Caenorhabditis elegans: one gene and its partner. The protein of the gene in region 2 interacts with the protein of the main gene of each other region in a pairwise test. Each region holds a gene or a part of one and is shown on either strand. Other genes may lie near its edges.

Region 1 (3,102 bases), 8.3 Mb from region 2:
TTGAGTGGAGTTTTCGAATTCAAACAAAAACATCAACGAAAAATTTCGTAAATCCGAGAATTAAAAAAAATCAAATTCCAAAACTACAAGAGTCCCTGTCACTGATCGAGACGTGGAGGAATAAGAAACAAAGAGTGTCAGTGACACAGTACGCTAGAATACGCGACGCAGACAAAAAGTGGACCCCAAGTCGGAGGACACGGACGGAGGTCGACATGACCAATCGATAGAGAGTTCGTTGCGAGAGAGAAAGAAACACGAGACGCAGAGACATGAACAAGAAGACGGGCGGTGTAGTGGTGTGGCGGTGGCGGTTCCTGGGGTGGTTTCCAGCGAAAAAAAAAACGACGAAGGGCACCAAGACGCAGAGACATTGTGCATTAAATATACGTATATATGTACAATATGAAGAAAAAGGAGAAGCAAAGCGTGGAGAGTCTGCACAAAAAAACGTACATTTTTTATTCAAGGAGCGCCCGACAATATGGGCGCCCTCGTTTTCCCCTCCCTCCACAACGACACCTTCTAGGAGGACAATGTATGAGATAATGTAGATTTTTGAAGAGACGGCAGACATTATGAGATGAGAATTCTTGATATCGGAGATTGACCATGAAAAGTGCGGAGAACGGTCAGATGACGTCATCTTCTGGTTTTCTTAGTTATTTTTTATTAACTTGTGCCCAATCAACAGTTTCTTCATGTTAATGATGACTTTAAATTGATTTTTTTAAAATTTCACTCACAACATATTGTTGAGAGTAACTCGACGGAGATCGTGTATCAACGTGTAATTGGCGATAGGGAGGTTGCCGCCGATAATTCGGATCATTGCCTGAAAAATAATTATTGTTTAGAATTAATTGAGCGAAAATATATTGACGAAATACCTTGATATCCGTGCATTTCCACGCAAAACTCTTTTAAAATTTGTTTTTTTCGCGTCTTGCTGTGATTTTTCTGAAAATAAGATACGGAATGTTTAAAAATAATGTTTAAAATCAAAATTTTGATCGAAAATTCGGAAAAAAAATGCACAAAAACGAAGAAGAATGAGTGAAAATGATGAAATATGAATTTGATTTCGAATTTTCGCGGACAAGGGTTACTGTAGTTTTTAAAGGCGCATGCCTCGATTTGAAAAAGTTTACAGGCACAGAAATTTGCTTTTTGAGTGAAAACTTAATAAATATCAGTCCATTGTTTTGAAATCACCTAATTAAAATTGAAAATAAATATTTTGCACTATTTTTTCTATTTAAAATTTCAAAATTCTCCGAATATAAAATTTTAACACGACTACAGTAATCCTTCGCTTGAAATTATTGCGTATTTTGATGCAGAAACTATAATCCTGCTGTCGTAATAAGATGATTAGTTGAAAAGAGAGACGATGACAATCATATCATAATTGTAATCAATTATTTGCAAACACCAGCGCCAGTATATAAATTATTCGTTGAACACACATAATTCTTCCATTTTTCTCCATTTTTTTCTTTTTTTTAATAAAATAAATTATTTGAATGTTCAGAATGCCAATTGTAACTATGGAACGAGTCGATTCGTTCTCCGCAGCACATCGTCTTCACTCTGAAAAGCTGAGCGACGCTGAAAATAAGGAAACTTTTGGAAAATGCAATAATTCAAATGGTCATGGACATAATTATGTTTGGAAGGTTTAAAAATTTTATTTTTTAATAAAATAAAAATAATTTCGAAAAATTTCAGGTAAAGCTCCGCGGAGAAGTTGATCCGACGAGTGGAATGGTGTATGACCTGGCAAAGCTGAAAAAAGAAATGAGTTTAGTGCTGGATACGGTAGATCACAGGAATTTGGATAAAGACGTGGAATTTTTTAAGGTACTGTAGACAGATTATGCGTCATTAAAAATGCTATTCAAAGTGTGGGTCTTGGCACGAGCGAAACTTTTCAGCTACAGTACCATCTAGTATGGTTTAAATGTTTTTTGTTTAAAAGATTCGAGAATTTTGCTATTGAAAAAAATCTAAATTAAATTTTTTTTGTTATCATAAAAAATTTCGGAAGGACCCAAGACCGCAATTTCGCGTTTCAAAACCAAGATAAATACTTTTTTCCAATTTCAGACAACTGTGAGCACATCTGAAAACGTGGCAATTTATATGTTCGAGAAGCTGAAATCCGTAATGTCGAATCCATCGGTTTTGTATAAAGTGACAATTGAGGAGACACCCAAGAATATTTTCACTTATAAAGGATGTTAATTTCTGAAATAAATAGTTTTTGAATAAAACCATAAAACCAATTTTTCAAGCCTTTTAGCAATAGAGCGTGTTTCCAAAAAAAGTCTAGATTTAATCGGATTAATTGTTTCGAAACTGTCGACGACAAACGCCCGGAAAAAATAACTATATGTGTTGTTGTAACAGCAGATTCTGATCATCAACATTTACAAAAACCCTGTTTATTCCAATTCCACTGTCCTCTTTCCGCCGCCACACTACACTTCCCCTTTTCACTTCTTTTGCCGTCTTTTGCCCCACTATATTCCTCGGCTTTCTCCCCACTCATTATCTGTGTCTCTCGTGACTAGAGTGCTATTTCATACGCACCTTCCACACACACACACACACACAAGGAGCCAAATTTGCACAAGCTTTTTCGTCATTTTTTCGTCATTTTTTTCAAATGTGAATTTTTAGAAAACTTGAAAACTATAATTTTGTATTTTCACCTAAAATTACTGCAAACTCTTGTATTGAAAATTTGAAATTACACGTGGAATTAGTTTTTCAAATCCGAACTCTCATATTGATTGAAAAATGAATAAATTGAAAATTGAATTTCCGCGCAAAGGCGTGCCCCAGTGCACATCCGTGTACTCCTCTCGGATAATTAAATAATTAAATTTTTGGTGTTTTTCTTTTGCAATTCTCTTGATTTTATATGCATTTTTTTGATCAATTTCTTGTCTGAAAATCATAATTCATGAAAAATCCGCGGATTCACGGTTAACCCATTGATTAGCCACTTCTTACACAATTTTGAGGTTTTTTAACCATTTTTCCTGTATACTTCATCTTTCAGCTAAAATCTGTTTTATTTATAAGATCTTTAAG
Region 2 (5,236 bases):
CATCCATCATCATTAGATTATCTTGGGCCTGAAAATATTGAAAATTGTTGGAAAATGAATGTAGATTTTTTTTTGTGCTTTTTTGGTAGGGTTACTGTAGTTTATGAAAAATTGAGGTGTAAGTTTTTGAGGAGGTATTGGGTTGGGAGCTGGTGGGGGGCAATGTTCAGGTACTGTAGGTATACGGTAAGGTTACTGTAGTTTGGAAAAAGTAGATTTTTTATTAATTTTTAACATGAAAATTGTAATTTTAGAGTAGTTTATATAAATAAATGGTGGCAATTTTAATTTCTCAACATTTTCGATTAGTCACTTTTTTAGGTGGCATTTCCTCAAAATGTTGAATTTTTAAGCTAAAAATTGTAACTTTTCTTTAATTTCTCAACATTTTCGTTTATTTACCATATTTTACGAAAATTTTAATGTAATTTCTCCAGAATTTTGAACTTTTCCAACCAAAAAAAATAGATTTTTGATTTGTTTTAATGCTTTTAAAATGACAAAATATGAATTTCTGAACATTTTAAATTATTCACTCTATTTCAGGTGAAATTTCCGAATTTTGTGGCAATTTTAATGGGATTACACCGAAATTTTGAAGTTTTAGATGAGAAAAACTGATTTTTTTTCTAAATTCAAGAGTGTTTCCATCCAATTTTTTATAAAAAATTTAAGAAATTTGATGTTTGTGGAATTTTTATTGCAATTTTGAAATTTTACGCAAAAATTTCGGTTTTTTTGCGAAAAATGCGCTTCCAAAGTTATTTTTCTTCCATTTTGTGGAATTTTTGCAATTTTTCTTCAAAACAATTCATAAAAACCCTAGATTTTTATGATTTTCTACTTCAAAAACCCAAAAATTCTAAAAAATCTACCTGATATTTCAAATCCTTTCTCAATTTTCCATTCATATAATTCCAAACTTCGATAAATCCGTCTTTTGAGCCAGAAACAAGATAATTAGCGTCCGGTGAGAAAACTGCCGATTCGGGATAACTTTCTGAAAGAATTTAGGGTTTAAAAATGGAAAATTTGATATTTTCGGTAATTTTTGGAATTAAATCATAGTTTTTTAATTAATTTTCTAAGATTTCAGGCGATTTTTCATTCAAACCCCCGTTTTTCTTTTAAAAAACCCATAAATCCCAGTATTTTTCGATTAAAAAATCAATTTTTTGTTTAAAAATCCCTTTATCTAAAATTTTGACAAAAAATCTCTAAAGTTCAGAAATTAATTCAATTTTCAGATTTTCAAGTGGTTTCACTCGAAAAATTAGATTTTTCAATGTAAAAATGCTTGAAAAATTCAAATTTGATATTTTAGAAAGTGGTTGACTGGCTACAAAATACAAGTTTTTGAGTTTTTTCTGAATTTTTGTTGAAAAAATACAGACTTTAGGTCGGATTTTTAGATTTTCGAATTTCAGTGCAAAATTTTGAGTAAAAAAAACTTAATTTTTTAATTTTTAATTTTTAATTTTTTTTTTTTTTTTTTAATTTTTTTTTTTTTTTATAAATTTAATTTCTGAAAATTTTATAAATTTAATTCTGAAAAAAAAATACAATTTTGGTCCAAATAATAGTAAATTCGAAATTTTACTCAAAAAATCGAAAATTTAATTGATAGAGGCCTAGACTACAAACTACGAAATTCAAATTTTCTGGATTTTTTTCAAAAAAAAATATTGTAAAAAAATTAATAATTAAGGTCGGAATTCTAGATTTTTGAGAAACCGCCAATTTTTATATTTATTTTCGAATTTTAGGGCATCATTTTGCAATTTTTGATTCCTAAAAAAATCCTTTTTTATAGGAAAAAATTGAAATTTTACAATATTTTCTAATCATTCACGCTATTCTTTGAACTTTCACAATGAAAAAAATTCCAATTCTCAGAAAATAGGCTCAGAAATCTAATTTTAAGTCGGTCAAAGCTTAAAAAATGCACTTTTTAATCAATTTTTCAAATTTTAAAGCAATTTCAATCCGTACTCGTTGAGAATTTAATGCTTCTAGCCATCATAGTCGGATATCTTTCTTCAATTTGCTCTTTCTGTGCAGCTTTTCCTCTAAATAAATCAATTGCAGTTCCAGGTGGAAGAAGTCCTTGATGAAGTTGCCATTTAAGTGATTGTCCAAGTAAACTCAAAAGTCTTGACGGAGCAACTACATGAACTTCTGATGAAAGAGTTTGTGCAATTACGGAGCGTCGTTTCTCTTTACTAACATCTCCATAAACCTCTTGTCCATCGAAATACGGGCGGTTGATAAGAGATTCCAGGCGGGCGAATCGATCCGGATCAATTTGTTTTAGCAAAATCATTGGATCAGTCTGACGGGCGACGAGACGGGCGGTCGCCAGCTCACGGAGCTCCACAAGCTCGATTATTACCTGAAAATTTGAAAAATTTACGAGGAAATTGTTTTTTGTACTAAATTTTCAGGAAAATCTACAATTTGAGCCGAAAAGGTGAAATTTTATTTAAAAACTGCAAAATTTGGGGTTAAAATCTGGCAATTCTGAAGAAAATTCGCTTAAAAACGCGATTTCAACGTAGTTTTTGATTTTTTTTTTTTTTGTTTTACAGCGTGAAATAATGAATATTCAACAATTTTTGGTGAAAATCCCGCGAAAAATTCAATTTTTCAAGTAAAATCTCGGTTTTTTCCTTCTTTCCCATATCTTACATGTTCATACAGATCGATAAGTTTCTTGGCGGGTAATTTCAACGATTGAACGGTTTTCAACACGTTATCCCAATTTCCAGACGTAATTTCATTACAAAATCCATCAATTGAGTCGACTGTATTGAGCGAAACGTTGGTTTCTTCCTGAAATTATCGATTTTCTTTCATTTTCCCAGTTGAAAAATGCAGGAAAATACCTGCAAAATCGCCAGAGTTCGGTGCAAATTCGATTCTTTGAGGAATTGTTCGATGAGACGGATTACACTGAAAATATCGAGGATTAATGATTTTTGGGTTATTTTAAATGAATTTTTACACATTTTGAATGAAAAACTTTTTAGATAAACTTACTCTGAAGATTCGATCTCAATCGATGACATTTTCAGCGAAAATTCGGTGAAAAACGGCTGAAAATGACGTGTAAAATTCGAATATCCTCGGACACGAGAAGTGCGCCAGCCTTTTTGGAAGCGATCGGCAAATGCGCCAGCACGAGCGCTTGGCGTGTTTTGCGTTTTTGGAGCGAATTTCAAATTGGAGTTTTTTGTGGACTTGCATTTGTGTTTAAACTCTTTTTTTTTCAGAAAATATTTTTGCCTGAGATTTTTTTTCATGCACAGTTACAAAAAACAACAGTTTATCCGTTAAAAATCGATAAAATTCCAGAGATTTTTGCTTGACTACGTTAGTTCTCAAAATCCACAGTTTGCGTACAATGCATTTTATCAGCACGTTTTTCTGTTTTTTACAATTGATTTTTTTCCAGCTCCATTTTCTTCAATAAATATGAAAAAACAGGACGACATTCTTTATTTTTTTAAAATAAATTCTTATTCTCACACACGCACACCGGTACTTGTGTTCGTATGAATAGGTTTTTTGAGATTAAAGTATAAAATTTGAAAAAAAAGTTTGAAAAAAAAGGAATTATAATAAAAAGTGTGTGAGCAGGGGCTGTCGTCAGGAATACTGGGGGACTGGGCTTGTGTGTGTCGTTCGTTGGAGCTACCTGAAAACAAAAAAAAATTATTCCAAAAATTTCACTTTTCATTTGATTAACAACATTAAAATCAGTTGCTTACCTCAAAAATATGTGCTTGAATTGAACCAAATTTTAAATATCAGTGAGCTCTTCACAATTTGAAATCGTCAAAGCCTGACGTGCTCTGAAAATTATTGAAAATTCGAAAAACTGGAATTTCCACCGAAAACCGTACCACTGTATCAAAGGCGCGTTTCTCAAATCCAGTAAAACCTTGTCCAGCCAGTGAATCGAAAGCTCTTTTGTCAAAACCGCTGAAGCCGGATCCGGCTAGCGAGTCAAAAGCGCGTTTGTTGAACGCACCGAAGCCACTTCCCGCCTGAAAAATTTGGAGTTGTTTGGAGAGGAAAGACTACAAACTACAAACTACAAACTACATTTTCACCAAGAGCTTAACCATATGGGCACGTGGTGCCAGGCTGTCCTATTACGGTTTGATCTACAAAAATGCGGAAATTTTTCGCGCAGAAAAATGTGACGTCAGCACATTCTCAACCATGCAAAATCAGTTGAGAACTACGCGTCACTTCTCCCGCATTTTTTGTAGATCTGCGTAGATCAAACCGAAATGAGACACTTTGAAACCAAGTGTAGTTTGTAGCATGAAAAAAATTGTTAAAAATCTGGACTTTGCTCAAAAACCGTTAGAAATATTTTTAAAAATTCGTCAATTGAAAAATGTTTGCTTCAAAATTTTAAACATTTTTAACGAACTTTGGAACAGCTTTTTCTAATCGATCACCGAAAAAAGTTAGGCAGTAGGCAGACACACACGCCTGATGGCTTAAGGCCACCTTCAACTCACCAATGAATCAAATGCTCTTTTATTGAATGCTCCGAAACCTGAACCAGCAAGACTGTCGAATGCTCGTTTGTTGAATCCATTATCAAAACCACTTCCAGCTAACGAATCGAATGCTCTTTTCTCGTGAGGTCGATTCAGGAAGAACAATGAGCCAACTGGACGTAGTCGGACAGCTGCACTTTCCACTGTGGACATCTGGAATTAAAAACTATTTGAACCTTTTTAAATGTTAATAAAATAACTAGTTTTGCCTAAATTATATAATGTAGAAAAAACTAAGTTAGTATACTATTGATGCAGTATTACAGAATTATATGTCTTGAATTCAAATAGTGCTCAGCTAACACAGTTCTGTAGTTTGTAGTGTCTCCCTTTCACCCTCCACCAGGACCCCCCTAGCCATCCCAATATCAACGAGGGGCCCCCCTACACATGTTTATGTCTATGTCATCATGATGCCTGGCGAGTTTGTTGGCACTTTGTAATTGGAAAATTTCGTTTGACGCACTTCTTCGCTTCCCCGTTTTATTTCGCGTCATTGGACACGAGATGTGATACATTTTGTTTTTTTATTTTTTGGGAAGGAGGACTCACAAACTTGGGTCTTGACAAGAAGAGAGGTGGATTAAATAGTATTTACTTCAGTGATTGAAGAGGATTAGATGTTGAGGAAGTTCCGAGAAATGTCAGGATGTTAGGAG

The links.
Region 1: the proteins of smu-1 (region 2) and ptps-1 interact in a two-hybrid assay, tested with the Caenorhabditis elegans proteins (one large-scale study listed by BioGRID).

Annotation. Positions count from the first base shown.
Region 1 is NC_003279.8:4,651,331-4,654,432, reverse strand, and holds ptps-1 (Putative 6-pyruvoyl tetrahydrobiopterin synthase), read left to right. Parts: upstream 1-1,526; coding exon 1,527-1,679; intron 1,680-1,731; coding exon 1,732-1,863; intron 1,864-2,109; coding exon 2,110-2,247; 3' UTR 2,248-2,288; downstream 2,289-3,102. Other genes in the region: ain-2 (ALG-1), read right to left, coding at 747-835, 891-906. UniProt on the Caenorhabditis elegans protein: Involved in the biosynthesis of tetrahydrobiopterin, an essential cofactor of aromatic amino acid hydroxylases. Catalyzes the transformation of 7,8-dihydroneopterin triphosphate into 6-pyruvoyl tetrahydropterin.
Region 2 is NC_003279.8:12,993,721-12,998,956, reverse strand, and holds the start of smu-1 (Smu-1 suppressor of mec-8 and unc-52 protein), read right to left. Parts: upstream 3,155-5,236; 5' UTR 3,069-3,154; coding exon 3,040-3,068; intron 2,953-3,039; coding exon 2,886-2,952; intron 2,833-2,885; coding exon 2,689-2,832; intron 2,393-2,688; coding exon 1,993-2,392; intron 1,001-1,992; coding exon 876-1,000; intron 29-875; coding exon 1-28. Other genes in the region: nlp-15 (Neuropeptide-Like Protein), read right to left, coding at 3,822-3,854, 3,906-4,049, 4,536-4,730. UniProt on the Caenorhabditis elegans protein: Involved in pre-mRNA splicing as a component of the spliceosome. Selectively regulates alternative splicing of unc-52 exon 17.